Oryzias latipes: one gene and its partners. The main gene of each other region encodes a partner of the protein of the gene in region 4 in a complex. Links are inferred from orthologs where the notes say so. Each region holds a gene or a part of one and is shown on either strand. Other genes may lie near its edges.

What was found.
Region 1: THO complex subunit 4 (region 4) and thoc5 share a complex: the UniProt entries of both Homo sapiens proteins name them as parts of the transcription/export (TREX) complex. The link is inferred for Oryzias latipes from reciprocal best matches to the Homo sapiens genes ALYREF and THOC5.
Region 2: THO complex subunit 4 (region 4) and rbm8a share a complex: the UniProt entries of both Homo sapiens proteins name them as parts of the ALYREF/THOC4-EJC-RNA complex. The link is inferred for Oryzias latipes from reciprocal best matches to the Homo sapiens genes ALYREF and RBM8A.
Region 3: THO complex subunit 4 (region 4) and thoc7 share a complex: the UniProt entries of both Homo sapiens proteins name them as parts of the transcription/export (TREX) complex. The link is inferred for Oryzias latipes from reciprocal best matches to the Homo sapiens genes ALYREF and THOC7.
Region 5: THO complex subunit 4 (region 4) and eif4a3 share a complex: the UniProt entries of both Homo sapiens proteins name them as parts of the ALYREF/THOC4-EJC-RNA complex. The link is inferred for Oryzias latipes from reciprocal best matches to the Homo sapiens genes ALYREF and EIF4A3.
Region 6: THO complex subunit 4 (region 4) and thoc1 share a complex: the UniProt entries of both Homo sapiens proteins name them as parts of the transcription/export (TREX) complex. The link is inferred for Oryzias latipes from reciprocal best matches to the Homo sapiens genes ALYREF and THOC1.
Region 7: THO complex subunit 4 (region 4) and thoc6 share a complex: the UniProt entries of both Homo sapiens proteins name them as parts of the transcription/export (TREX) complex. The link is inferred for Oryzias latipes from reciprocal best matches to the Homo sapiens genes ALYREF and THOC6.

Annotation. Positions count from the first base shown.
Region 1 is NC_019867.2:13,553,733-13,557,845, reverse strand, and holds the start of thoc5 (THO complex subunit 5 homolog), read right to left. Parts: upstream 2,801-4,113; 5' UTR 2,669-2,800; intron 2,469-2,668; 5' UTR 2,437-2,468; coding exon 2,338-2,436; intron 2,167-2,337; coding exon 2,023-2,166; intron 1,706-2,022; coding exon 1,592-1,705; intron 1,334-1,591; coding exon 1,236-1,333; intron 733-1,235; coding exon 586-732; intron 514-585; coding exon 399-513; intron 323-398; coding exon 190-322; intron 1-189. Other genes in the region: tfip11 (tuftelin-interacting protein 11), read right to left, coding at 3,199-3,545, 3,671-3,836, 3,950-4,092. UniProt on the Homo sapiens protein: Component of the THO subcomplex of the TREX complex which is thought to couple mRNA transcription, processing and nuclear export, and which specifically associates with spliced mRNA and not with unspliced pre-mRNA.
Region 2 is NC_019874.2:29,126,567-29,130,849, forward strand, and holds the start of rbm8a (RNA-binding protein 8A), read left to right. Parts: upstream 1-1,483; 5' UTR 1,484-1,491; coding exon 1,492-1,552; coding exon of another isoform or gene 1,553-1,558; intron 1,559-2,072; coding exon 2,073-2,132; intron 2,133-2,211; coding exon 2,212-2,289; intron 2,290-2,855; coding exon 2,856-2,992; intron 2,993-4,283.
Region 3 is NC_019863.2:16,703,394-16,706,964, forward strand, and holds thoc7 (THO complex subunit 7 homolog), read left to right. Parts: upstream 1-1,169; 5' UTR 1,170-1,189; coding exon 1,190-1,277; intron 1,278-1,501; coding exon 1,502-1,622; intron 1,623-2,048; coding exon 2,049-2,176; intron 2,177-2,268; coding exon 2,269-2,355; intron 2,356-2,449; coding exon 2,450-2,507; intron 2,508-2,596; coding exon 2,597-2,663; intron 2,664-2,766; coding exon 2,767-2,836; exon of another isoform or gene 2,837-2,913; coding exon 2,914-2,975; 3' UTR 2,976-3,071; downstream 3,072-3,571. Other genes in the region: interferon-induced GTP-binding protein Mx, read right to left, coding at 3,382-3,571. UniProt on the Homo sapiens protein: Component of the THO subcomplex of the TREX complex which is thought to couple mRNA transcription, processing and nuclear export, and which specifically associates with spliced mRNA and not with unspliced pre-mRNA.
Region 4 is NC_019866.2:15,369,837-15,374,037, reverse strand, and holds the start of THO complex subunit 4, read left to right. Parts: upstream 1-1,401; 5' UTR 1,402-1,548; coding exon 1,549-1,788; intron 1,789-3,138; coding exon 3,139-3,297; intron 3,298-3,382; coding exon 3,383-3,530; intron 3,531-3,624; coding exon 3,625-3,688; intron 3,689-3,779; coding exon 3,780-3,960; intron 3,961-4,043; coding exon 4,044-4,058; 3' UTR 4,059-4,201. UniProt on the Homo sapiens protein: Functions as an mRNA export adapter; component of the transcription/export (TREX) complex which is thought to couple mRNA transcription, processing and nuclear export, and specifically associates with spliced mRNA and not with unspliced pre-mRNA.
Region 5 is NC_019859.2:158,191-162,253, forward strand, and holds the start of eif4a3 (eukaryotic initiation factor 4A-III), read right to left. Parts: upstream 2,801-4,063; 5' UTR 2,698-2,800; coding exon 2,544-2,697; intron 1,670-2,543; coding exon 1,597-1,669; intron 1,524-1,596; coding exon 1,457-1,523; intron 1,374-1,456; coding exon 1,311-1,373; intron 1,229-1,310; coding exon 1,096-1,228; intron 1,031-1,095; coding exon 950-1,030; intron 1-949. UniProt on the Homo sapiens protein: ATP-dependent RNA helicase. Involved in pre-mRNA splicing as component of the spliceosome. Core component of the splicing-dependent multiprotein exon junction complex (EJC) deposited at splice junctions on mRNAs.
Region 6 is NC_019875.2:28,356,448-28,360,552, forward strand, and holds the start of thoc1 (THO complex subunit 1), read left to right. Parts: upstream 1-1,305; 5' UTR 1,306-1,341; coding exon 1,342-1,389; intron 1,390-1,596; coding exon 1,597-1,670; intron 1,671-1,743; coding exon 1,744-1,804; intron 1,805-1,880; coding exon 1,881-1,950; intron 1,951-2,220; coding exon 2,221-2,339; intron 2,340-2,419; coding exon 2,420-2,468; intron 2,469-2,546; coding exon 2,547-2,642; intron 2,643-2,747; coding exon 2,748-2,830; intron 2,831-2,907; coding exon 2,908-2,981; intron 2,982-3,084; coding exon 3,085-3,193; intron 3,194-3,253; coding exon 3,254-3,388; intron 3,389-3,602; coding exon 3,603-3,703; intron 3,704-3,793; coding exon 3,794-3,860; intron 3,861-3,996; coding exon 3,997-4,047; intron 4,048-4,105. UniProt on the Homo sapiens protein: Component of the THO subcomplex of the TREX complex which is thought to couple mRNA transcription, processing and nuclear export, and which specifically associates with spliced mRNA and not with unspliced pre-mRNA.
Region 7 is NC_019866.2:286,797-289,443, reverse strand, and holds part of thoc6 (THO complex subunit 6 homolog), read left to right. Parts: intron 1-834; coding exon 835-883; intron 884-962; coding exon 963-1,034; intron 1,035-1,095; coding exon 1,096-1,198; intron 1,199-1,270; coding exon 1,271-1,320; intron 1,321-1,410; coding exon 1,411-1,473; intron 1,474-2,647. UniProt on the Homo sapiens protein: Component of the THO subcomplex of the TREX complex which is thought to couple mRNA transcription, processing and nuclear export, and which specifically associates with spliced mRNA and not with unspliced pre-mRNA.

The DNA of each region.
Region 1 (4,113 bases), on a different chromosome or scaffold from region 4:
CACACAACAAACAGTTTTAGTTAGATTTCGTTTTTTATAAAACTCTCGTTTTTATTTTTATTTCAGTTAATGAAAATGTTTTTTCAGTTCTAGTTTTAGTTTTTTCGTTCGTTTTCGTTAACTATAATAACCTTGCTTACAACTCATATTGACATTTCGGCTATTGTCCCTACAGAGAAAATTGCTCACCACAAGCCTGGCTGTAAGCATTCGCTTGAACGAACAGCACATAAAGGGGTGGAGGAAGGTGGCGGGCAATCTCGGTCTGTTTCTGAGTTTGCTCAAACGGCATGGACAAATACTCCTGCACTGGGATAGACGCCTGGGAGAAGATTTAGAAGAATATTAAAAACTAAAAACTTAAGATCAAGTTCAAGTTGAGCTTTATTTTTTAATACCTGCATGATAGCATTAAGTCCCGGCTGCAAACTTCTCAGATGCTCCTTCTTCACCTCAATGCTCTTCTGGATTTTCTCCTTTGTAGACTGAGACTCCTTATATTTCTCTGCCAATCTGTATCATACAGACGTTTTAGCACATATCTATTTCAGGAGAATGAAAAACAGTAACAACAACAGAGCAAACCTCTTCCTCTGTTCAAGCTCCCAGTCCAGCCGGGCCAGTGTGAGCTGGTGTGGATCGTCTTTTGTGAGCTGAGGCCTGGAGATCTCTTGAGGAGCATCCCGGTAAAACTCCTCCTCACTGACCAAGTCTATTTCTTCATGCTTTGACCTGAGGCAAAAACAAAAGGATATTTTTAACCCAGGGTTGTTTCTAAAACTACTAACATTGTTGTGCCATGTCAATAAAAACAGAATAAACAGGTCAAATAATTAAAAAGCATACATTTTTTGTCGGAGTGGTGGAAAAGTCACAAAGTTTTAAGCGCTTTAGAAAACAATAAAGAAAAGAAATTAAGCAATCTGGATAAAGTCCTAGAGAAGACACAAACTAAATTGGTTCGTCTTTATTAACTTTCACATAAATATGCCCCCCCCCCCGGGTTATCGGCTCTTTAAAAGACTCAGTTGCAACACCAGTAGAAAGCAATTTCAGGTCAGCAACTTAAATATTGTGATTTTATTCCTTCCTAAAGCAATTAAAGAACTAGCAATGTGAAATAAGTGAACAATCTAGTATTTTTCAGTACATACATTTGCAAAAATGTAATCAGATAACAAAAAAAGTGGTTTAATTTTGTGTTAGAACCAGTTAATAAATTCGGAAGGACTAACTTGAACTCCAGACATTTGCTGATCTCCTTCTGAAGATGCATGACTTCATACAGCAGGTTTTGCAGCTGAAGGTGCAGCACATCCACCTTCTGTTTTGCCTAGGAAGACGAAAAATCAACGATCAGGCATTGATACAATGGTAACATTTTAAACACAGTTAATATTTAAACAAGTTGGCAAACAAGACAAGGATTCGACATACAAAAGACCAATAACAAAAACATATAGCATAGTGATCAATCAAGACACACAATAAGAGTGACATTATCGGATGATAAAACAATTTTTGAGTGCATAAAACAACGTTCACATTTCTCTTAAGACAGCAATGCATTACAGAGACGTGTGGAAGTTACCTCGTGCGTCTGGTCTCGTCCTCTCTTTAGCCGCATGTGGGCCAGGCGGTTGAACTTCTTCAAGGTCATGAAGAGGATGCAGCTCTGCATGCGCTTCTGCTCAACCTCGGCACACTGAAGCAAAAGAGAAAACACAATTATTTATTAAAGACGGGGCTTACAATGTAAAGTCCCTTCACCATGATGGTGTATCTGTCAAAAACATGACATTAGAGACATTAGATCATATTTATTGGCAATGAACACTTGGCAATAACTGATAACACTTTGACCTCAAAAATGTCATAACTACTGCAAGCTTGATGATTGTCAGAGTTCAACTAGATACTTTTAAATAATTATTTACCTTACTTTACTTTCTATGCTAAGGCTGATGAAAATGATCATTTGGCAGGGACATTGGCGTGAACTGTAAAGTTGAAAGAGCATACCCCCTCTTTAGCTCCATTAGCTTTAAGCTCCTGGATTTCACTCATGAGAGAAGCCAGAGTCTCACAGGACTCTTTAAACTGCAAGTAGTCGTGTTCAGGCTCCCTGCCGTCCAACTCCACCTCCTCATTATACACGCGAACATCCTAAAAAAAGAGAGACATTATTGTATTAAAACTCTTATCTATGAAGAATGTCACTCCACAGATTTATAACACTACTACTTTACTGTGATCGCCATTATAATAATAACAAAGTATAATAAATATACTTTGTAATAACAAAGTCAGAACTCGTGAGAAACACTGGTTGGGTACCTGCTGCTCGACCTCCCCTCGGCCTCGCTTCATCTCAGTGGTTCCCCCTTCGTTACGAAGAACCTTCGACTTGCGTTTCTTTATAGAGTCAGATGACATGGCTGACTAAATGTAACTGCACACTTATAACTCTGAAAAATAACATATGTATACATAGATGTATATAGTGAGAATAAAACAACTTCGATCGACAAAATATGCTAGCATGCTAAACTGTTAGCACCATCATGGCCTGTGACTAATAACGGCTCACAACCGCTAGCTTCTACGTCCACAATATCAATTTACTGTTTTGTTCTTATTTTCTGCATTTGAAAACTTGCTTGCGTACCTTATAAGCGGAAAGGTCCACGTTAAGAGGCTAAATTACGAACAGGCAGATGTTATGGATCGCACAAAGCCTTTCAACGGAAGCCGAAATGACTGAAAATCAATGGTAATCGCTACACTGCCCCCTACGGTTCCTCTTGGTATTACTAATACTGGCTTGATTAAAAAATAATCTCCGCAATTTTTTAAACATTTTATACAGTGAACGTAAAATTGTCGTTAAAATAAGAATGTATATATTTTTTCAACACAGCAATATTTTATAAATTAATTTTAAGTTGGTGTGCAAATCAGTGAACATACATATCCCCAAATAAGAATAATTAAAAAACAAACCTCCACAAATATTTTGTATCAACATATCTATTTTTGGGTACAAAGGACAACAAGAAAGACAACATATAAACAGAAATAATTTATTTACAAATATCACATTAAAAACTACATCTAAAGATACATGAAATGAACTGGTTTATTTTTTTTAAGACAAAAATAAAAGCACCTGAAAACAAAATATCTTTTAAGGTACATTTATTTTGCCATATCTATCAGACTTTGCAAAGATGTTGGCACCCAAGTCTTTTCCCCCTGCACAAACACAACACCTCTGTCTATGTAAATAACAATGCGGCCAAATGTGTAGAGCTGTTTCCCCTCGTGCCGTTTGGCCACTATGGGCATGAAAACAATGTTGTTTTCCTCTGCTTTGGCCTGAATTAGATCCTTAAAGTTAGTTGGCACACCAGAACCGATGCCTCTTTGAGCAACACTTTCTGCATCCCGGCGCTCTTGCAAGGCTTCATACTGGAAGTCTTTCCGTCTCTCCGTCTGTGTGAGATAGGCAATGTTCTCTCTTGCACCAGGCTGCATATATCCACCTGTGAAAAGGAATAACGGACTCAACATAAGTGAAGCAAAGATCTCTCAAACTTTGCTTTTATAGTTTGAATTAAGGTAGATCTTTGGTTTTCATATTTATGAAGTAGACTGTGTGTACACAAACCCATTCCTGATGACACTGCACGGTTCATGATGTCCAAAGCCTCATTAAATTTCTCTTTAATGAGAGGTTGAGTCAACAGAATGTCACTAAACAAGCCTTTCCAGCCGAGATACCACTTTGTGATTTCCTCGTAGTTAGGACTATTGCTCAGCCATGAACACAAAACCTAAAAGCCAAAAATAAAAATAAAAAATACAGCAATTTCAGAGGATTTATTCAACCTATATATTTAAGAAATACGCTTTACGTATTTTACTATTTGTTATGACATTCACATACCTGTAACCATTTTGGGAAAAAGTTCTTGTCAAAAAGGGACACAAGACTGGAGGGAGACAACATTCCCTCCCAGTCCATCACCCAGTGAAACGGCTCCATCTGCTGCTGGTGCGGGTTGATGACCAGCTCTTCCAGACATAAAGCTTTGGCAGGAAAGAGAGATT
Region 2 (4,283 bases), on a different chromosome or scaffold from region 4:
TTAGGTTTTTATTATTATTATTTGTTTATATGCATGACAGTTGTTAAGATTTTTTTTTTTTTAATCATTCCTCCTCCTGATAAAAAAATAGATGATGGTAAAAACTATTTCACCCAGAAAGCTGAAGTTCTGACTGTAGCAATGAAAATAATATTACAATTAATTAAGTAATGATTAATCTAATAAATATGTAAACAGTCGTGTAAATCACAAATATTGTATCAATCACAAATATAAACTTCTGTGAAACTCTTGAAGTTTGCAGACAACACTACAGTCAAATGCCTTACATGTGCAGTCATGCTCTTATTAGTAATAAAGATGATTCTGATTCTAAAACCTTGACATCAATATTAACACAGAATGTACTAATAATAATTATGATAGAAATTGCAACTCTAATATTAATAACAAGTATAGTCACAATTTTAATAATAGAAATGCTATCCCTTGCAGTATAATAAAGTATTTTAAATCATATTTTTGTTGTGTGAATGTTGACACTAATGTTTAAAACAAATGTATACATTTCTCATTGTTCTCATTATATCAGTGATGACACTAAATATAATACCAAGATAACAACAATTTTCAATTCTTGAAAATATATGGCATGGAAATTTTAACAATGCTATTAATAACAAATATATCATTAATTATATTGCATTAAATTGTCCACACTAAAGTATAAAAAATCATGATTATTTATTAATATCATGATTGAGTAAGTAAGTAAATTTTATTTGCATAGCACCTTTCACAGACAAAGATCACAGGTTAAAATATATATATATATATATATATATATATATATATATATATATACATATAAAAACATAAAAGATAAAAAGCACAAACCACGTAAAACAATCATCTCAAGCCCAATGAAAGCAGTTTCAGTTAAAATGCTTTGCAAAAATAAAAAGTTTTCATGATGATAAATGTAAATTATTTCATAAGGGATAAATTAGAAATCATGATTATTAAAACATAAATTATCGTTTAATATTATGCATTTTTACCAGTAACACATGTGATATTAATCATGAATATTATAATAAAACTCTGCACTAAAAATTAATAACAAAAATTTCATTTTCAAATAAAAACTCATTATTAATCTTATTATTATATTTGACTAATTTTATATTAATAAATGCAAATTTTCTTCATCTCCTATTTTTTCCCTGTGTTATTAATCAAACAAATTTAAATGTATCTCAGTAACATCTCCAAAAGTCTTAATCAGAAAGCTGCATGTTTGTATGAAAGTTGTTGAAATCTGAATGTTTTTTTTTATCTAAAACTCCTGTAATATGTATGCTACCCTGGCATATCTGAAGTTTACTTAGCAAAATTGTGTTTTGTATTAAACTTACTTACGTTTTGTACAATAAAGTTTAAAAAAAAATCTTTACGGAAGTTACGTACTCAGACTCTTTAGTGATTCTCCGTGCGCATGCGCTGTTCGTACTCAGTCAAACAGACATCATGGCGGACGTGTTGGACCTTCATGAGGCGGGAGGAGAAGACTTTCCTATGGATGAGGATGGTGACGGTATTGCGTTGTTTTACACAATTAGAGGCGGACGCACCGCAGTCCTGCCAGCCAAATAATGAAATTCAAATAGCCGCACGTGCGGTCAGAATCACGCTCAGCCCAGACTGCGTGTTTGTTAGCGGGCCGCAGCCGTGTTAGCATCCAGCTAACTCAACGAAAGGCGGTCATTCATCCACTTAGCGAGCCTCTCAGCGGGGGTGCAGCCGTCTGTGTTTGCGAGGGCCGCTTTTAAAATGTTAATTATTTAAACGGACTGTATTTTTCTCTGCACGTTAAAGCTGTTTTGTTTTCTATTAAGCTAGCGCTAGCATCCATGTTAGCCAACGGCTACATGCTGTTAGTGTTGCGCAGATGAGAGAAAAAACGTCGATTTAAAAATTGCACATTGTTCCTAAAAAAACAACCCAAAAACACATATAGTTACTCCATTTGAGAACTTCATAAACTAAACTCTTGTGAATTAAAGGAAACTGAAAACGGCGTCCTTAGGCTTTTATTCGTCTGTTTGCAGAAAGCATCCACAAGTTAAAGGAGAAAGCCAAGAAGAGGAAAGGACGAGGTTTTGGTGCAGGTGAGCTTTCAAAGCATTTTTCCCTTTATTTTTCTTGACTTCTTAGGGTTTGGTTTTGATTCTAAGTTTTTGATTCCAGATGATGGGGCCCGGTCCAGAGCCAAAGAGGACTATGATACTGTGGAACAGGACGGAGATGAGCCTGGGCCTCAGAGATGTAGGTGTTACAAGTGACCTTCATGTTCAGATAGAAGCAAATTAACAAGCTGTAGTCACACTTAGATTGTAAAAAATCTAAGATCTTTGTGTGTATTTTTTTTTATTTTATTTATTTAATTTGATTATAGAATAAATGGTCAATGTTGTGCTTTTCTACCTTTACTAAGCCACTAAGGGCTTGAAAGTCCCAGTCCCATGCACAGTCACAGCCTGTAACCCCCACGAGCGTTGTGGGGTTTAAGTGTCTTGCCCAAAAGACACGTCCACACATGGGCAGGCAAGGCAGGAACTGAACTTTTGATTGAAGGTCTACCTCTGCATCACAGCTGCAGATAACTAATTTAATTTAACCTAAAGTTCATTGTTTAAAAGTTATAAATCAGTTTCACGGCTGCGTTTTAATTTTGACCTATGCAAAAACTAAAAAACTGCTCTGAAACAATGCAGACTTTTACTTTTGAAACTGCGTGAATGCCAGCAGGTCAGGTAAACTCATCTGCTTGTCTTGGTGTGGAGACTGGGGGGTTTGGGTGTCTGATGCCCTGTTCCCTCCCCTCTCTGCAGCTGTAGAAGGCTGGATCCTGTTTGTGACGGGCGTGCACGAGGAGGCCACAGAGGAAGACATCCACGATAAGTTCTCAGAGTTTGGGGAAATCAAGAACCTCCATCTTAATCTGGATCGCAGAACTGGCTATCTGAAGGTGAGTTTAAACCATTTCCTTTTTCTTTGAACACATTTTGTATTTTAAAGACACAACATTTGGATGTCAAATGTTGCTTATGTTCCAATGAACATCTAAGCGGAAGAAGTGAATATTTGATCAACATTAAAAACAAGCATTTAGGCAGTAATTATCAGAGGGAAGGATGGAAGTCATCATATTAATGATGTGGAAGATTTCATTCAGTAGGATTTAATCATATATTTTATAATACTTGTAGAAAAGAAAGTTGGTTGCTAAAATAAGGCTGTTGTGTTCTCAGAACAGTTGCGTGAAGGGGTTAAGAGAGAGCCTGGACTGCCCTTTTGTAGCAGCACTTTAGTTTCTGTGAAGTGAAGCTGATATTTAAGAACAGTCGTATGAAAAACAAACTATTTCGGCTTTATTATTACTGAGGGATTTTCTTTCCGTCTTATTGGTGTTTGGCCGCCACTAAAGGCTAAAATGCTCAGTGTTGAGTCTTTGACTTTTCCACCAAAATAAAAGCTTTGGCATAATTCTGGTCTAACTGCACGACACAAAAATGGATGAGAAAAGCATTTGGGGGGCCGTGAGAAGAAGAGGGTTGACCTTTCTGCAGTTTGTTACTTCACGGTCTGCTCAGTGAAGGAGGAAACCGTCTGACATCTGCACTTTGTGATCAGAACTGTATTATAATAATTGTCAGATTTCAAAGGGTTGTTTTTCAGTTTTAAAACGAGTCTGAGGATACTTAAAGCCTGACTGTCACTGTATTTTCACTCAAAAAAAATATGTTTTTCTCTTTTGGTGCAGTGTTTTTCAACCAGTTTATAACTGGAAAAAAATTCCATTTCACCTAATTGGGCTAAAAAAATGTTTTCCGTTAGCAGGATATCAGTTCTGTGTTCATCCGAACAGACCCGGCTTTTCCACTGGAGTATTTAGAAATGTCTGCTTTGGTTTTATTGGTTTAGTTTAGTTTGTCATTTGCATTGTTTACCTAACATACAGTATAAACAATTAATTAAAAAAATAGGCAGAAGCATATGAAGCTTATTATATGCCTGTCCTTCAATGTCCAAGTTAATCAGTTTAACAAACCAAAAAGTAGGAAACAGTCCTTAATAAATGGAGACAAGTAAACAAAGTCCTTCTACATCTGTGTTTTGTAACCTTTAATATGTTTTAGACTTTTTTTCTTTTAACTGAGAATTACGTCATTTTAATTCATCGCTCAATTCCTTCCATTATTTCACGTCAAGAACTGAAACACATCTTGTCTTGACATTAGATCGAACATTAAACCTGT
Region 3 (3,571 bases), on a different chromosome or scaffold from region 4:
GTTAACCTCTGATTTCTAATTGGCAAACTGCTGAAAGTTTGTACTGTTTTCCTGTAAATCTAATATACGCGTGAACCTTTGTTAAATAACAAAACTCTATTTGCCCACACGGCTGGTGTTCTGGTGAGAAATAGAGCACATTAAGTTTCAAACAAGTTTCATTGTAATTTTCTAAGGTGTAGGAACAAACATGAAATCAGACCTGAATTGATCTGTCAGAAAAAAAACGAGGAAGTGGTGACCAAGAAAATATGTTGGCCAAATGAAAACCTGTTTAAATCTATAGTTGAAGCAGGTATTGTACCTATAACCGTACCAGTAACATTACTATTTATGAATTATTATAAATGGTGAAATTAAAGCTAGATAGAAATCTTTGTCCTCAATAGCCACTTAGTAGCTAAAGGTTCTTATAGAACAGAGGTCTGCAACCTGAGGCTCCGGAGTTACATGCAGCTCCTTTATGATTCCATTGTGGCTCTTTGGTTTTGAAAAAAAAACGCTAACGATTTGAGTTACTAATAATGTTTTGGGGTTGTTTTTTTTTTTTTTTAATTTATTTATTAAACTTTCTTTTATTTGGATTCTGCTCCAATGTTGTCATGTTAATATATGACTATAAAAGTAGAAAAGAACGAATATGCAGCAAAGTCTGACTGATAGAAAAGTCTATGTTTGACCTGACTTTCTTACATGTTTTATTCAAGTGAGTCTGTTGGAGGATTTAATTTGACATGAGGTTTATTTCGTTTGAAAGGAACCTATATATGCTGCTGTCAAAAGTAAAGGAAGTTAATATTTTAATAGAAAGAAAATGATAAAACTTTCATAATTCAATTATTTTAATATCTAAATGCTACATGGTAAAAATGAATGGTTTAATGGTAAAACAAAATATGTAATGTGCCATTCTCGATTGATAATTCAGCTTGCAATTTAAGCATTCAATCTAAAAAATGCATTTTAGAATTTAAAATTCAATGTGTAATGCTACAATGTAAGCTGACATTTTTAAAAGCAAAATGTTAAATAAAACAAAATCAATTGTATTCTAAACTGTCATTGGTTTTTAGTCCAATAATATTCTGCAATATAATAAAAGTTCAATTTTGCTGTTGAGTCTAAAAAGCACAAAAATGTGGGAAAAAAATTGCCACATTGAATGTCCACCAATAGGGGGCAGTAGAAAATGAAACCGCTGATTTTAACCTGGAAAAAGAATCTTGCTCTACCGGAAATAGTATTGCTCATTGCAAACATGGGGGCCGTAACAGATGGTAATTTGGTGGTTACTTCGTTTAATATAAAGTTTTATTAAAAATAAATAAAGTGTTTATGTGTTAAGTTATTGTATACAATAGCTTATTTCTAGAATGTAGCAGTGTTTACGCAATCAGTTGGGAGAACTGTGCAGCTAATTTATTGCCCTGCAGTGCTAGCTCAGATTAGCAGGTTGCAATCTAGCCTATAGTTTATCTTGTCTCTTTCGTTTCTGTTAAAGATGAAGTCATTCGGAAACGTCTTCTTATTGATGGCGACGGAGCCGGAGATGACCGCCGGATCAACCTGCTGCTTAAAAGCTTCACTAAATGGTGCAACTCGCCCGGGACTCCGGAGGAAGGGTCAGTGCTGAATGAATCTGAGTCTGAGCTGACGCATCAGAAGATTTACTTTCCAGATTTTAATGTGATTTAGCATTTACGAACAACTCTTCTTGCGAAAGAAAAGTCACATTAGTTAGTTCTTACGTTGTGTGTACAGGCAATTCCAAGCTAGTTTATCAAACTCCATAGAAGGTTAACGGGTCTCAGTTGCATGCAGTTATACTTACCCAAGGAGAAGAGTAACTGTCTTCTCTACAATCTATGGCAAGCAGAGTGTGACACACAGCACAATGTTTCAACTCTGACCATGCATTTCAAAAGGCTGTTTCTATACATTTCCATGATGTGTTTTTATATACCCGAAGAGTAGAATGGTGTCTTCCTTGTTAAATATGCAACAAAAAATCTCACTTTAATTCCTTGTGGTCTTGTGTTTGCGTGTAGATTCACACAGTACCAGCGGATGTTGGGCACTCTGGCTCAGTGTGAGTTTTCCATGGGAAAGACGTTGATGGTTTATGACATGAATCTTAGAGAAATGGAAAACTATGAGAAGATCTATTCAAATATAGGTGAGGTTTTATTGCTCTCGTCTGGAAGCATTTCTGTTTACAATATTAGATTTCATCTATATACCCCCCCCCCCACCCTCCCCCCATTGCAGAACAAAACATCACATCTGCACATGAGAAGATTGCAGAATGCAAAAAAGATATTCAGAGGGCAAAGAGGATACGAAAAAATCGCCAAGGCAAGGATATTTTGATATGGATTGCATATTTTATTTATTGTCCTTTTTCAATAACATCCTTGGAGTATTATAAATATGTTTGTATTTTTTCCAGAATATGATGCATTAGCCAAGGTAATCCAGCAGCATCCAGATAGGCATGAAACACTCAAGTAAGTGGCTCCGTTAATTCAGATTTTCGATTGCTTGTAAACAGCGTACAACAGTTTTGCTTCATTTTTATTTATTTATTTTCTTTCAGGCAGCTAGAGGCGCTTGACAAAGAGCTCCAACAACTGTCCCACATCAAAGAGAATGTGGATGCAAAGGTATATCCAAACAGAATTTATGCAGCTTCTGTGTATTTCGCTGATGATTTGATTTATTTTAAAGTTGTTGTTTTTTTCTATCAAATTTACTGTTCCACCATAGTTGGAGTTGAGGAAGAAGCAGTTCCACGTTCTTCTTACCACCATTCAGGAGCTACAACAGACACTTGAGAGTGAGCACTTTATTCTTAATGCCAACTGATTTTAAAATTGTTTCAAAAAGTTAAACTCAAAATTTGTCTTCTTTTAGATGATGAGAAGTCAGATATTGAAGATGCCAGTCAAGAGAGCCCTGCAGGGAACAGTGAATAACAGTGGAACAGAATGAAATGTTCTTAAATGAGTTTGGGTTTGTGAGACAGAATGCTTTTCGTATGTATTTTTGAATAAAATTCTCTTGATTCTGTCGCTCTGTCTGGTTTTCCCTTTTATTGTTTCAAATAAAAATAAAAAAATCAAAGTTCACAGACTGATAATAATTTCCCTCTATATATATGCCCAAATAAAACAATGAACATAAAAACATGCTCCACACTCGAGGTGATTATAACAATATATAAAAGGAAAACATCTGTGTGCCCATATAATGACTTTTGCTGCTGTAAGATAATCATTCCTGTTAGAAACAGCAGATTCTACTGGACTACCCAAACACAACAACTGAACATTTACACTAACATGTAATTTGGAGATGCAGAAAACAGATCCTTCAAAGTTTTTAGAACTCTACTAGGTATGCACGGGCCTGCAAAAGGCGCTTAAGGCGATTCTGCAAAGTAGCCCTCTTACTGCCGATGTCAAAGTCCTCCTTCAGCAGGAAATCCAAGTTCTCCTTGTCCTGAATCATCTGCAGCATCTCTCTCTGGAGCTGGCTGGCTGATTGTTGCAGCATTTCATAACGGATCACC
Region 4 (4,201 bases):
CAGTAGAATGATCTCAATGGATATCCTCTTAGTGGGCTTGTTTTGGAAACCAAAATACAATGTGGAAGGCCAACATTTTTTTTATTATTATTATTATTATTATACATTTTTCTTGCCCTGGGATGGACATTGTTGAGTAGTGAATGCAGGAATGCAGCTCTTATCTCCTTCCTCTAAGCCTTGGAAGCAAAATGTTGAATAAAAGACTTTTACAGAACTTCTGCTTGGTTTGACACTCATGTATGTTTGTTATAATACAATGAACAGTAATCAGTGTTAGGCTGTTTTTTTCCTCGGAACAAACGTTAGCTAAAAGTATGGAAAACGATCATAAATAAGAGGTTAAAAACTCCCCAGTATATCCCCCACCCCACTAAAATTCAGCTATTTTTAAATATACATAACTGTATTTGTAGTTTAGCTTTACAGATTGATTATATCTTTGATTTTCACTTTTTTTACACCCACAATTATTAGGAAAGTAATTCTTTTGCTTTTTTTATTAATAACAGCAATACCAGTTTTTTGTTATTTCTTTATAATAACGTGCAATTAACAGAGGTAGAGTTTACAGACAAACAGAGCCATGTAGCTCAGAAACAATCAATGTAGGAAAGGTTTCAATAAAAGAACAAGAGGGAAACTTTCTTTTTTGTTTGTTTTCTAATTAGGTGAAGAAGTTGTTGGTCTTAAAAATACTACTACCTTCAAATCAAAACAATAGAGTTGCATTTATATTTGTTATTTACATATTTCAAATGAATGTGAAGGAAGAATACAATCATGCATTCTCGTGCAGGGTGCTTTTTTAATCCTTATTGTAGTATGAAGAAGAGCAAAATTTTGAATAATACTTTGAATTGCTATCTTTTTATGCAAAATTAATCTTTTGAGATCAAATTAATTTCAACTTCTTAGCAGATTTGCTGACGTGTCTCATCAAAAAGAGATCCAATTTGTATTTATAATATGCATATTGAGAGTTCAGGGTGTTGTCCAATTTAAGCATTCATTATAATAACGTTTCTTGATCAAACTAAGAAAGTTTTCTTTAGGTCATAGTCACATCTAAATAAAAAATCAATTCAATACAAATTTCATTTGAAATATGAAACCACATTTTTGTTTGTTTAAAGAAGTGCCTTAGCCTATTTGTTTTCAATGTAATTTAAAGTCTAAAAGTATTTTTTTTTATGTTATTCAGTTTCGTTATAGAGATATAGTTAAAAGTGTTTGATTTAATGCTTTGATTGCTTCTTTTAGTGTTACTATGAACTGAACACACCCATGTATGGCGTTTTTTAGGAATAATGTTTTAGTTTCCAGTAGAGGGCGGTAAAGAGTTGTTGTAGTTTTTAACGTAATGACGTCAAGAGTACGTGTTCTCCAACCAATCAGCTTTTCTACAGCTTGTGGGCGCTTTTCATTGTGCTTAGTACTTGGACCAGAGAGCGTAAATCTACGGACGAAGAGAGGGAACAGCTTAGTCCAGGGTGTTTTAAGACAATTTAAATCTTTACAGTGCTTTAGAGTTATCGGGGCAGCATAATGGCGGATAAGATGGATATGTCTCTAGACGACATTATCAAGCTGAACAGGCAGAGTAGAGGCGGAGCCCGTGGGGGAAGAGGCCGAGGCCGCGGAGGCTCAGGCGGTGCCCGTGGAGGAGGCCTTGGGCGTCTTGGTGGTGGCGGCGGCGGATTTGGAGGCCGAGGCGGAGGATCAGGCCCCATGAGGACCCGACAGAACCTGAGCCGCGCTAGAGGCAGACCAACGCCTTATAGCAGGGTATGAGAAAGTTAGACGAATGGGCATTGGAAGGAAAAAAACCTTCGTCAAAGCTGAAAATTCCTGGTTTACGTCTTCTTTTCTCCATTTGGCTTGACGGCTAATCACCTAGCTAGTCAAGCCATTAAAATGGTTGCTTACCGCTGAGTTTCCCTTAGAGGAGAGCTCTATAGTTTGTGGATAAGCATAAATGGAGGTTGTTTGCATAATATGTCCCTTCTCCCACAACCTATATGTGTCGCACCACTTTTCAAGAAGAAGCTGCTTGAGGAGCGACTATGTTAGCCACATTGGCTAACCTGCCGGATCGTGAAGGTCTCAGCGCCATTTTGAATCCAACAACCTCGAATACAATTTGGCGTCAAAATGATGTTTTACCCCAAGTGTCGTAATGGTCTGGAAAGAAAAGGATGCCTACATCGCTGAGAAGGTTCCTGCACGTTTTTTCCATTGCTACGGAATCACATTCCTTCCAACGTCCTGCTACATCTTCAAGGCGGCCTTTTGTCCCAGGAATGGCTGACGGGGTTTCTTAAAATCCCACCCAAAAGGCTTTTCACCAAATGTCACATATGGATGGATACGTGGACTCATACTTAATCCCCTCAAATTTCCTTTATTTTTTTTTTTTTTTTTGTAAAAAGAAGCCCAATCTTCACTCCTGGGGTGTGAATGAATATAAATGCAACCCAAACAAAGCCCCGATCAAAATGGCGTGGTTTCAAAATGGACGTCCGCGTACTCCACGCACTAAAAAGGGGGCTATCGGCTTCTTTCCCCCCAAAATGTTCTTCACCTGTAACATCCTAAAGACATTTCTTCATGAAAGTCGAATTGTGGCCTGACAAAGGACTGTTGTGAGCCTGGACAAGCGGCGCAACGCGGGATGCGAGGCTGCTTCTGCCGGGGACCCCCCCTCGTGTGCCTGAGGAGCATGTCGACAGACAGAGCAGTTGGTGGAGTAGCAGATGGCAAGAAACGACGGGGTTATGCTAGCTAGTTTGGGGCGGATTTTTGGTTCATGTAAAGATTTTTTAAAGTTAATGTATGAAAATGATTAGTTTAAATATCTGTCAGCTTTTTGTCTTACTTTACAAGTAGTAAAACATTGAAATTTTCTGTATCAAAACACCAAAATAGCTATTTTTAAATTTGTGTATTTCTGTCTGAAGTGATTCACGTGATTGTAACGATGGGGTGGGCAGGGATCATGGGGGGGTCTGCTGAGCACCCTGGCCGTGTTGGAAGTGGAGCACCTGCTTGCACCAACACCCAGCCGTGTGGACTCTGTGAAAGACAGAGGCAGGGGATCCTGAAGTCAGCAGGTGCGTTCTCTTTCGTCTGTTGCAGCCCAAACAGCTTCCCGATAAATGGCAGCACGACATGTTTGACAACGGCTTCAGCGGCTTCAATGGGGCTGCTGGAGGTGGCGGAGGAGCTGGTGTGGAAACGGGAGGAAAGCTCCTCGTCTCCAATCTGGACTTTGGGGTGTCAGACGCAGACATCCAGGTACAACTTAGCTAGCATATCTGATGGTGATGTTTTTTTTTTTTAATTGATGACTTAGTTTTGACTTTTTTTTTTTTTATCGAAGGAACTCTTTGCTGAATTTGGGACTCTAAAGAAAGCTGCAGTTCATTACGACAGATCAGGAAGAAGCCTTGGAACGGCAGATGTCCACTTTGAAAGGAGGGCAGATGCCCTGAAAGCCATGAAACAGTACAATGGCATTCCTCTTGATGGTATTCTTCTACTTTATTACAGATTTATTTAATTAGATAAATACATTTAAATATTAGTTGATCTTCCCAAGATTAAAGCCTAATTTGTGTTTAGGGCGGCCTATGAACATTCAGCTCGTCACATCACAGATCGACACACAGAGGCGGCCTATGCAGGGGTAAGTAAGCATGGATTCTTGGGAAACTGGAAACAGGCTGTTGTGTAAACCCCAATTACATTTTCTTTGTGTATTTGTTTTGTTTTACCAGTATGAACAGAGGTGGTGGAGGCATGAGTAGAAATCGGGGTTTCGGAGGGATGCAAAGAGGCCGAGGGGTCCGTGGTGCAGGTGGTCCCAGAGGAAGAGGGCGGGGGGGGCGCGGCGGTGCCCCCAAGCAACCGCTATCGGCAGAAGAGCTTGACGCCCAGTTAGATGCTTACAATGCCAGGGTACATCTGTCAAAATAGAAAGCATCTTCTGTTGAAGTTGTTTTGCAGCTGTCCTAATTCTGTTTCACCTCTTGTTTTCTCAGATGGATACCAGTTAAGGAAACCTCCCATCCTAGTTGACGTCATCCCTCCCTGTCTGCACAGAAAGGGGTGCTTGTTACAGATGTGCAGAATATTTTACACTTGTCTTCTGATGTGATTGAAATTGTTCCAACCTCTTCTTTTAAATACTCCAAAGTGT
Region 5 (4,063 bases), on a different chromosome or scaffold from region 4:
TGAAGTCTCAGAGATGTCAGGTGCTCCAAACCGGAGAAAGGCTGCTCCTGATTTTTGGTCCCTGAGACCCAGAAGCATCTCCGTCTCTGAGGCCGGCCCCAAACCTCTCAGAGAGCTCGTAGTTTAGGACGGTCTGCCAGAACTTCAGCCATGACGGCGGCTTTGACTGACCAGGGTCATTCAGGAAGTGCAGTCACGCCGGAACTCAACTACAGCATTCCCATCGCGGGAGTTGCCTTCTAAAATAACCGGCCACAGGTGAAATCCACAAGCTAGCTGTCAACATTTCCAGACTTTTCTCTTAAAGTTCAAGCCTTCGTAGAAAAATCCGTCCAGGATTCTAGAATGAAAAAGATCTGATGGCGACGAAGAGCAAAAACACCAACAGCCAAGCAAAGATGTGTGGTGGTGAGATGAAGACCTCCCCATGCGCTACAGAGACCACCACCCCCACCCCCCAAAAGCTCTGCTCCCCCACGAATCTGGAATGTTAAAGCAGAAATCTGAAACCATTCTCTGCAGTGACACTAGCAACACTACAGACATGAATTTAAAGTTCTGACCCTGCTAGCGGTTCTGCTGAAGATTCTGCTGAAGGTTCTTCCTAACCTTCACTTAGAACATCTCCATGTCACCGTTAAAATTCACTGAAGTGTTGCTTTAAACGTCCTAAACAGGAAGTGGTGACATCGCGGCCCGATGGCGTCAAATGGACTTTTCAAATCTGACACATTAAGCCGAAAACACGACCACTGAAAGGAAAGGTGACCTTCAAGTGTGTCTGGAACAGGTGGTTCCAACCTGGAAGGACCAACCCTTCCTGCTCCTTCAACACATTTCAGACGTAACCAAAGGTGCCAGAGTTATTCTGATGACCAGCAGGTGAGCTTTCAGCTCAGACAGAGCTGCTTTGCAGGTACAGAAGACGCTGAACAGCAGAGGACCTCACCTTTGTTCAGCATCTCATCAGCTTCATCCAACACCAGCATCTTGATAGCTCTGGTCCTGAGACTGCGGCGCCGAATCATGTCTGTAAAGAGACGCCGTCAGCATTCCCGTTTGTGCCACTTTTGCCATAAAACCCATTGAACCCACCAAAAACCCGTCCAGGGGTGCCAGCTACCACGTGCTGGCCGTAGTCCAGCTTGCGAATGTCCTCGCCCACGTTGGTTCCTCCGATGCAGGCGTGACACTGAACGTTCATGTAGTCTCCCAGAGCCAGCAGCACCTGCACACAGGACACCGTGACTGGCACCGCCGCCTCTACCTTACAAGCCTTTGGCTGAACATGGCGGTGGAGGCGGGGCTACCTTCTGAATCTGTCCGGCCAGCTCTCTGGTTGGAGCAAGAATTAGAGCCTGGGTCTCCCTGACCTGCAGAAGGAACAGCATCACCACCGAGCTGCAAACGGGTTCTGGCCCGTCTGTCACGGGACACAAGAACAGCAAGAACTCACCTGGATGTCCAGACACTGCAGGACGGAAATACAGAAAGTGGCCGTCTTTCCTGTTCCAGACTGGGACCTGAATGCAGCACAGATCACACGTTACAGCATGGAGGACCAGAGCACCTGCATGTTTTCCAGCCCAGACTTACTGAGCGATGACATCTCTGCCTTTGATGATCTGCTTGATGGCTCTCTGCTGAATGGCTGAAGGCTTCTCGAAACCTGTAACAGAACCAGAACCTGGTCAGGTGCTGTCCATCTTCATTTCCACATAGAGAAACCTCATCTGAGAAGTTCCCATGCTGCTCAAACTGAGGGGGACCAAAGTGGGAAGTTCTGGTGATGCTGACCAGAAAGAAAAGTTTTAGTCCCACAGAAAGGATTTCTATGGAGAAACTGGGTTTTAGGGGTAAAGAAGGATCCTCTCAAGCACAATAGTCCAGGAAAATGTAGAGAATTCATCTTTATCAGTGCAACACTTCAATATTACTGTAGATACAAATCTGATCGATTCTGTCTATTGGGATTTCTCCCGTCCTTTTGGGTCCAGATAATATGTTCATAAAATGTTCTGCCGTCTGGAGAAGACAGAACACATGAACAGAAACAAAATTAAAATACACATTAAGACAGAAGTGTTGACATATATTTATTAATAGTTCTGGGGGAAATTAGTAAAATATTCGCTACATATACGAAGCCATATAGGATGGGAACCGTCTAACTCCTGGATCATGACTGTTACGAGCAACAATACCAACAAAGATCGTGTCCAGGCATTACTGAACGAAACCCGCAAATTTTAGTATCTGGTTTTCGTTTAGTAAATAATCAACACGAATTTAAACTAATTTCATGTCAGCGCGGCCGCACGCGGCCTTAGCATGCTAGCATGAAGGCTAAAAAGATGAAGTTTTTCTTCCCGCCAACGACAAAATGATCAGGTCACACCAATCTACCCGCTTTAATGTAAGTTATTACGGGATGTAGTCTGATACCAACTACGTTTTCATTCCTTTTTTAAGGTGAACTGAACCACACAGCGGATTTAGGCTTAGCATCTGGAGGCGGAGGCCTCTCGAATCCACCGGCCTACCGTAGGCGTAGATTCCCCGGAGCAGGTCCTCACGGAGCCCCATGGTGTCGAAGGTAGGGGTGACATCCACCTCTTCACTGGTTTCAAACTCCACCTTGGTCATGTCCTCCTCCTTCAGGAGTCTTCTCCTGCCCGGTGTCCCAGCAGCGGCCATGACGGTCGTGTCTGTCTTCAAAACGAATCGGTAGTCTCCGCAAAAGGGGGGTAACCGCTTTGCTAGCTACTAACAGCGCTCCACGTGTCGCTCTGCTTACGTCATCAGCAGGCGACCAGGTTTATCAGGCGGAAGAGCAATTGTTTTTCGTTTGGAAAAAACATTTGAGGTTTACAATATTGTGGCAGCTGTATAAAGTGTCAAACCACAATTAAAACAGATGTAACCAACTTCCTGGATCTTTTATTTTGGGAGAGGTGTGTCCCTCCCGGGTTACCCTAATTGACCAGCTGGCCAAGATGTTGTTGTCCCATGGGGGGGGAATGGGATGACCATTTGAAATCTGTTGCTTTTGCTTACAACATCTCCAAGCACACCAGCACACGGTTTACTCCCTTTTATCTTATGCACGGGCGCGAAGCCCGGACCCCGGCAGAGGTTCTCATTCCTAGTGGGGTTGGTGGCATTGGCAGTGCAGCCACGCTGCCTTTATACGCGTCGTCTCTTGTGGAGCGGCTGGAGATTGCTTTCAGTGCAGCGAGGGTTAATGCAGCAGAGGCGCAGGAGAAACAGAAACTGTACCATGATGAGAACTCTCACCACAAGGGCTTTACAGAGGGTGCTCTGGTCTGGCTTAATAACCCAACAGAGGGCCGCACAAAACTAGCACCGCACTGGAAAGGTCCCTATCGTGTGGATCGGGTTCTGGCTTCAGGTGCAGAGGCCGCTTTGACATATCGCATTGTCAACCCCCTGGATATGTCTGAGCGGGCCCAGGTTGTTCATCATGACAGGTTAAAACGTTACACTCTTCCCCTGCCTGCTGGTTCCCCAAACGACAGTATGTCCACCCCGCCATCATCCTCTCCTTCGGCGGGTACTTCATTGGACCCCCCAGATAATGGTGATCCACCCCAACAGGGTCAGAGGGACGCGTTTGGGACAGCCCCTGCACACTCCCGCAGTGGCAGAATGGTGCGTGCTCCAACACGTTATCAGGACTTTATTAGGATGTAACAATACAGAGTTATGTCACAGTGAAATTTTTGTTGGTGTTGTGAGGAGACTGTCATATGTTGTTGTGTTTTCCTTCCTTGAAAGATTCTGTTGAATAATATGCTGTTGGTTGGCAGGCAATGTTGTATTATTATTCAGATTTTTTTTTTTCCTCTCCCTCCTGTGGTGGGAAATTTGCCGGTGGGTTCTGTAAACTCATGTTGTTCCTGTTTGGTTGACTTTTGTTGACGCCATATTGGGTCTCGAATGTTTATTTCTTAATTCATTTATTTTATTTATTTTTTTGCACTCCCCGGCCTGTTGCATTTCCTGTAGAAATTGTAGAAATGAGGACATTTCTTTTGAAAGG
Region 6 (4,105 bases), on a different chromosome or scaffold from region 4:
AGACACAAATTATATTTGTATTTTACTGTTGCAATTCTTTTCTTTGGAAATGAAGTCTGCAGTCGACACAAATTATAGGTCTTGTCCTGTGAAACCCACTTTACAAAGTGCAAAGTTAAATGATTGCCATCACACTGTAATGGGCCAGTGCTTCTAATGTGCAATGTGACGTTGTTCAACAGTAGATTTCATCAAAGCATTCCAGCCCTGCAGCACTGTACTCTGTAATGTACGCCCACAACATGCAGAAATGTTCCCCAGTGCAGACAGACATACATAGACCACACTAATCGAACACCGTGACCTCTCCAAAACCAGTGCTATGTAAGTATGAATGACACTGAGCTTTTTCCTAGTGCACAGGTCTAACTAAATAAAAAAATTGTAACTGTACAATTCAGTTTAAAAATGGATTTAATGTTTCAGCAATGCAATTGAATTAAAATTTACTTTATTAAAATAACAATTGTTAAAGTTTTATTTCAGCTTAGAAGAGAAAGAATACACAAATGATTACAAATTTCTAAAATATTTGATTTATCCCACCATTATTCAGTGACACCGGTCACCAGCAGATGAAACGTAGCTTTGTTTCAAACTGGATGAAGGGTTCAGTAGTTGAAAGAACAGTGTGCAACACTGCCCCCGTGAGGTCAAATGTGGAAGTGAGGCAGCTTCCCCCAATCTCACTCTGAGGTCAAATTATGAGAATTATCGAACACACGCGGATCTTTGGCTCATTGTCGCAACTTTATAGCACGTGTTAAGACGGTATGATAAAGTTTTATTCAAAAACATGTTTCAAACAGCAGCACAATTTGGTGGTTTTAGGGCAAAAAAACACATCAGTGTAATTTCTAAATCCCTTGTTAGAAAACTAACAAAGATGTATTCCTCAAAAGATAGAAACAAATGCGAACTACATTTTTAACATTTATTCTGAACTTTATGTATTAAAAATACAATTTAAAATTGATCATTATCTGTAAGCAAAAAAAAAAGCTTTAAAAAGTTCACAATGACGTTTTTTTTCAAATATGATTTTTTTTTAAACACATGAATTAAAGAAAGTGAAAAATTACAAATGTGGAGATTGGCAAACCTGTACAAATGTGGTATTTACGTCGCCCTAAGTATTAATTTTAGGAAACCGTCTAAAGTTGTCATCAATTATGTATGTAAATATTTAATAAATGTTTTTTCCGTTTGCATTATATATTGTATTTATGTCTACATTTTATTTTGTAATTTTTGTAAAATAATTTTTAAAAAAATAACGGGAGGGAGCGGTCAGAAAGACCGGAAGTACTTCTAGGTGCACTTCCTGTTGCAGCAGTAAAGATGTCTCCGTCCTTGTTTAATTTTGTCGATGTTAAAGACAAATTTACGGTGAGAGTTTGCAGGATGAGTTTTAATCATTAGGCATGCAAACACATAAATATATATACGGTGGATGTGATCAGAACGGTGATAACTTAAGTAGTTTTTTTAAATTAATTTTCTGTTTTGTTTTTCTACATTAGCTGTTAGCATAATGCTAACGTATTGAAAAGAGAGACGTTTTCTTTCGTATTATTCTCACATTTTCGTCCTCAGGTTGCTGCCAGACACGCCCTAACGGGTAAAACCTGCAAACCTTTGGTCACATCGTTTAACCAGATCCCTGGGAAGTAAGTCTACATCACTTCGACTTGTTATCAATTGTAATTTTTACCTATAACGAATCATTGACGTGTGTTTCAGTGAAACGGAAAAGAAAACAACTCTTGATCAGGCTTTGAGGGGCGTTCTTGGAGATCAGATTGTAAGCTGTTTCTTTAAAATTATCCAATGTTCTGCATTTGTACGCAAAGCTTAAAGGCTGATCGTTTCTTCTGTAGGTTGAGCAGAAGGCCAGCTGTGATGACTACCTGTCTCTCATCTACTTGAGCATCGATGCGGTCACAGAAGGTGTGATGCTAATGCAGAAAGTTGAACCGTGTCTTTTATTTAAATACAAATGAACAGGCCCTTTTTTTTTTAGCTGTTATTATTTTGACTTTAATATCTTGTTCATGTTTATATAGCAGAAATAGTCCATTTTAGCCACTCTTGTTTCGGAACTGTTGTGTTTCCGGGACGTTTACGGTACTCTATTTCAAAAGAAGTTAGTCTTAAAATCAAAACAGTGTAAAGTCTCGTCTTCAACCTTTTTTCTTCGGTGTTTTCTTGTTTTTGCAGGAATCTGCTCCGCTACAACGCCCTTCGTCCTGCTGGGAGACGTACTAGACTGCCTTCCACTCGATCTGTGCGACAAAATATTCTCTTTTGTCGAAGAGAACGTCTCCACTTGGAAATCTGTAAATAACTTACCCCCCCAAATGTGAAATATTGGTCTATCTGTCATGTAATATTAAATAGTATTTTTCCTTTTTTCCAGAACTCCTTCTACAGTGCAGGAAAAAACTATTTATTGAGGATGTGTAACGGTAAAATCTCCTCCATGTCTAATGTTATTCATCATTTCAAATTTGAGCAGTGAGTGACGAACTTTTCGGACCCTTTAGATCTTTTGAGGAGACTCTCCAAATCTCAGAACACGGTATTCTGCGGGCGAATCCAGCTGTTTCTTGCGCGCCTCTTCCCTCTGTCAGAAAAGTCAGGTGAGGACCCCAGCAGGGGGTTTGTTGTTCAGTTGTTGGGTGTTGACATCAAAGATGACATCTTAGATTGGAATTTTTTGTTTGTTTGTTTTTTTTCCCATCTAGGTCTTAACCTGCAGAGCCAGTTTAATTTGGAAAATGTAACAGTCTTCAACAAAAATGAACTAGAAAGCACTCTTGGCCAAAAGGTGGATTTTCTATACCTGAGGATTGATTCCAACAGTTTGGGTTGACTGATGACGGTTTTTTTTTCATGTTTTTCCAGAGCACAAATGAAAAGGAAGAAGGCATGGAGGTGGAAGAAGGAGAAATGGGGGAGGAGGATGCTCCTGCTCAGAGGTTTGTAGTAAAATGTTACCGATCCTCGTACAAACTTCTGATTTGCTCTTGACACCAAATGCTCCTCGGATTGAAAAGCTGTTCATCAAAATGTCGATTTCAGCTCCATTCCCATTGATTACAACTTGTACCGAAAGTTTTGGACGCTGCAGGACTACTTCAGGAATCCTGTGCAGTGCTATGACAAGTTTCTGTGGATGACGTTCCTGAAGGTAAAGTTCCTGAACTTCAGACGTATGCATGTGGCGAACCATAGCTAACCTCCTGGTCAGTTCTCAGATGAGACTCTAGCTGTGTTCAAGAGCTACAAGCTGGACGACATGCAGGCCTCCAAGAGGAAGCTGGATGAGCTGAGAGGATCTGATGGAGAACATGTTTACTTTGCCAAATTCCTCACCAGTGAGAAGGTGGGAAACTTTGTCTTTTATCAGCATACGTTTCTGTTAGAAGTCATTTTTAAAAGTATTAGATGTTTGTGGGGTCATGGGTCTGTTACCAGAGGGGGGAAAGGGTGGGCTTGTCTATGTTTTTAAGCCGCATAATGCAGGAGAAGCACTTTTCATGAGTAAATTGTGATCTGGATCTGACTGCTGACTGTTGTTCCTCTCCTCCTTCTTTCAGCTGATGGACTTGCAGCTCAGCGACAGTAATTTCAGACGCCACATCCTGCTGCAGTACCTCATCCTCTTCCAGTACCTGAAGGGCCAGGTCAAATTCAAAAGGTTCAACCTGAGCACAAATGTAACTCGACGTTGAAAAATCTGCATCGTCATGTTGGGGAAATAGAATCCTTTTTCATCTTTATCCTGCAGCTCCAGCTGTGTCCTTAATGACGACCAGACCACCTGGATCGAAGAGACGACTAAACTGGTTTATCAGGTCAGTTGAGGAGGAAAAATGGGGAAATCTTTTTATATTTATGAACTTTATAATTTATAGTTTTGAATGTAAACTGTTGAGGTCTTGAAAAGTCAAAGAAAAGGGGATGATGGAAGCCTTTTCTTTGGTTTTGTAGCTGCTGAAAGAAATCCCTCCTGATGGAGACAAGTTTGCCAGCATGGTGGAAGTGAGTCCACATCATATCCAACCGGTCAAGGTTTTGGGTCTCTGTACATTATTCTAAC
Region 7 (2,647 bases), about 15 Mb from region 4:
CGCACACACGCAGACGCACACACACAGACGCACACACACAGACGCACACATAGACGCACACATAGACGCACACACAGACGCACACACAGACGCACACACACAGACGCACACACACAGACGCACACCCAGACGCACACCCAGACGCACATACACAGACGCACACACCGACGCAAACACAGACACACACACACAGAGGCACACACACAGACGCACACACAGACGCGCACACACAGACGCGCACCCACAGACGCGCACACACAGACGCGCACAAAGAGACGCACACACACAGACGCACACACAGACGCACACACACACGCACACACAGACGCGCACAGACGCGCACACACAGACGCACACACACAGACGCACACACACAGACGCACACACAGACGCACACACAGACGCACACACAGACGCACACACACAGACGCACACACACAGACGCACACACACAGACGCACACACACAGACGCACACACAGACGCACACACACAGACGCACACACACAGACGCACACACACAGACGCACACACACAGACGCACACACAGACGCACACACACAGACGCACACACACAGACGCACACACACAGACGCACACACACAGACGCACACACACAGACGCACACAAAGAGACGCACACACAGACGCACACACAGACGCACACACACACAGACGCACACACACACAGACGCACACACACACGCACACACAGACGCGTACACACAGACGCGTACACACAGACGCACACACACAGACGCACACACACAGACGCACACACACAGACGCACACAAACAGACGCACACCTGCACAACCACCCGTGTTGTTCCTGCAGCTCCAGTCTGGAGATCCCAGAGATCAACGCCATGGCGTTCAACCCACGGGTGAGACGCACGCCACTACACGCACGTGCACATGCTGATGTACACACTCACACCAAGCATTCCGCGTGTGTGTCATCAGGACAACAGTCTGGCGCTGGGGGGCGGAGACAACAACATTCACGTCTTGGACCTGGAACATGGCGTCTTTAAGGTGCGTTCGAGTGCTGTGTGTTCGTGGCAGAGCTCCATCTTCCTCACCTGTGTTTCTGTAGGCGGTCCTTCACGGACACACGGATTACGTGCACTGCTTGTGCATGAGAGAGCGGGAGGCGGAGCTTCTGTCGGGTGGAGAGGACGGAGTGGTGAGGATGTGGGGTGAGTGACAGCTGCCGTCTTTGAGCTTCATCCTTTAGTGACGATGATGATGATGATGATGACGCTCTGCAGACAGCAGGACCGGGCGGTGCGTTCACTGCCTGGAGGTCCACAAGTACGAGGTGAGGTCTGGGGGGTTGGCGGGGGGAGGGGGGGGGGCTCGGATCCATCAGGCTGACGGACGGGTTCTGATCCTCGTGCACGTCTTTCAGGTGTGCGCACGGCCCCAGCACGGAAAATGGATCAGCTGCCTGACCACCGACTCTGACTGGATGGTAAGAAGATTGGAGGCGTTCGGGTCACTGGGAACGTTTCCCAGCCCTTCCTCACCGAGGAGTCTCCCTCTGTCAGGAGTCTTCCTCAGTCAGGAGTCTTCCTCAGTCAGGAGTCTTCCTCAGTCAGGAGTCTTCCTCACCGAGGAGTCTTCCTCAGTCAGGAGTCTTCCTCAGTCAGGAGTCTTCCTCACCGAGGAGTCTTCCTCTGTCAGGAGTCTTCCTCTGTCAGGAGTCTTCCTCTGTCAGGAGTCTTCCTCTGTCAGGAGTCTTCCTCAGTCAGGAGTCTTCCTCAGTCAGGAGTCTTCCTCAGTCAGGAGTCTTCCTCTGTCAGGAGTCTTCCTCTGTCAGGAGTCTTCCTCTGTCAGGAGTCTTCCTCAGTCAGGAGTCTTCCTCACCGAGGAGTCTTCCTCAGTCAGGAGTCTTCCTCAGTCAGGAGTCTTCCTCAGTCAGGAGTCTTCCTCACCGAGGAGTCTTCCTCAGTCAGGAGTCTTCCTCACCGAGGAGTCTTCCTCTGTCAGGAGTCTTCCTCTGTCAGGAGTCTTCCTCTGTCAGGAGTCTTCCTCTGTCAGGAGTCTTCCTCTGTCAGGAGTCTTCCTCAGTCAGGAGTCTTCCTCTGTCAGGAGTCTTCCTCAGTCAGAGGTTCTGAGGTTGTTCTGTTGTTCACCTGCCAGCTTGGTCGCCACAGCCAATCAGCAGTCAGATCAGCACAGGTGGTCAGGCAGAGTCCTTCAGGTCACAACCCCGTGTTCTACCTGGGCTGGGGACCGGCACAGGGAGACCGCTACCTTGGTAGGCAGTAGTGTGAAGCAAGTTGACCGTTAAAAAATCATTTAAAAACGGATAAATCAATAATCGATATCGGACGATACCATCGATTGAGGTACTGCAGGTTTATGTTACTAGAAGATAAAACCGACCAATCACAGCAGACGACACACGTGTGATGTCATCAACACAGAATAGTCCATCATTCCAGTCCAATGTGTGGACAGACTGTGAATAAAGTCATGTGACCATCCAGTGTCTAGAATGTTCTAAGAATGTTCCCTTTGGATTCTTTGGATGTGGAAAAACAACAGTGGTGAACTTTAGGAAACTAACATGTGAATGGATTTGACATTCATTCTAGTTTACTTGTTGGTTTGGACACAGATTTCATTAACTTGATGATCTG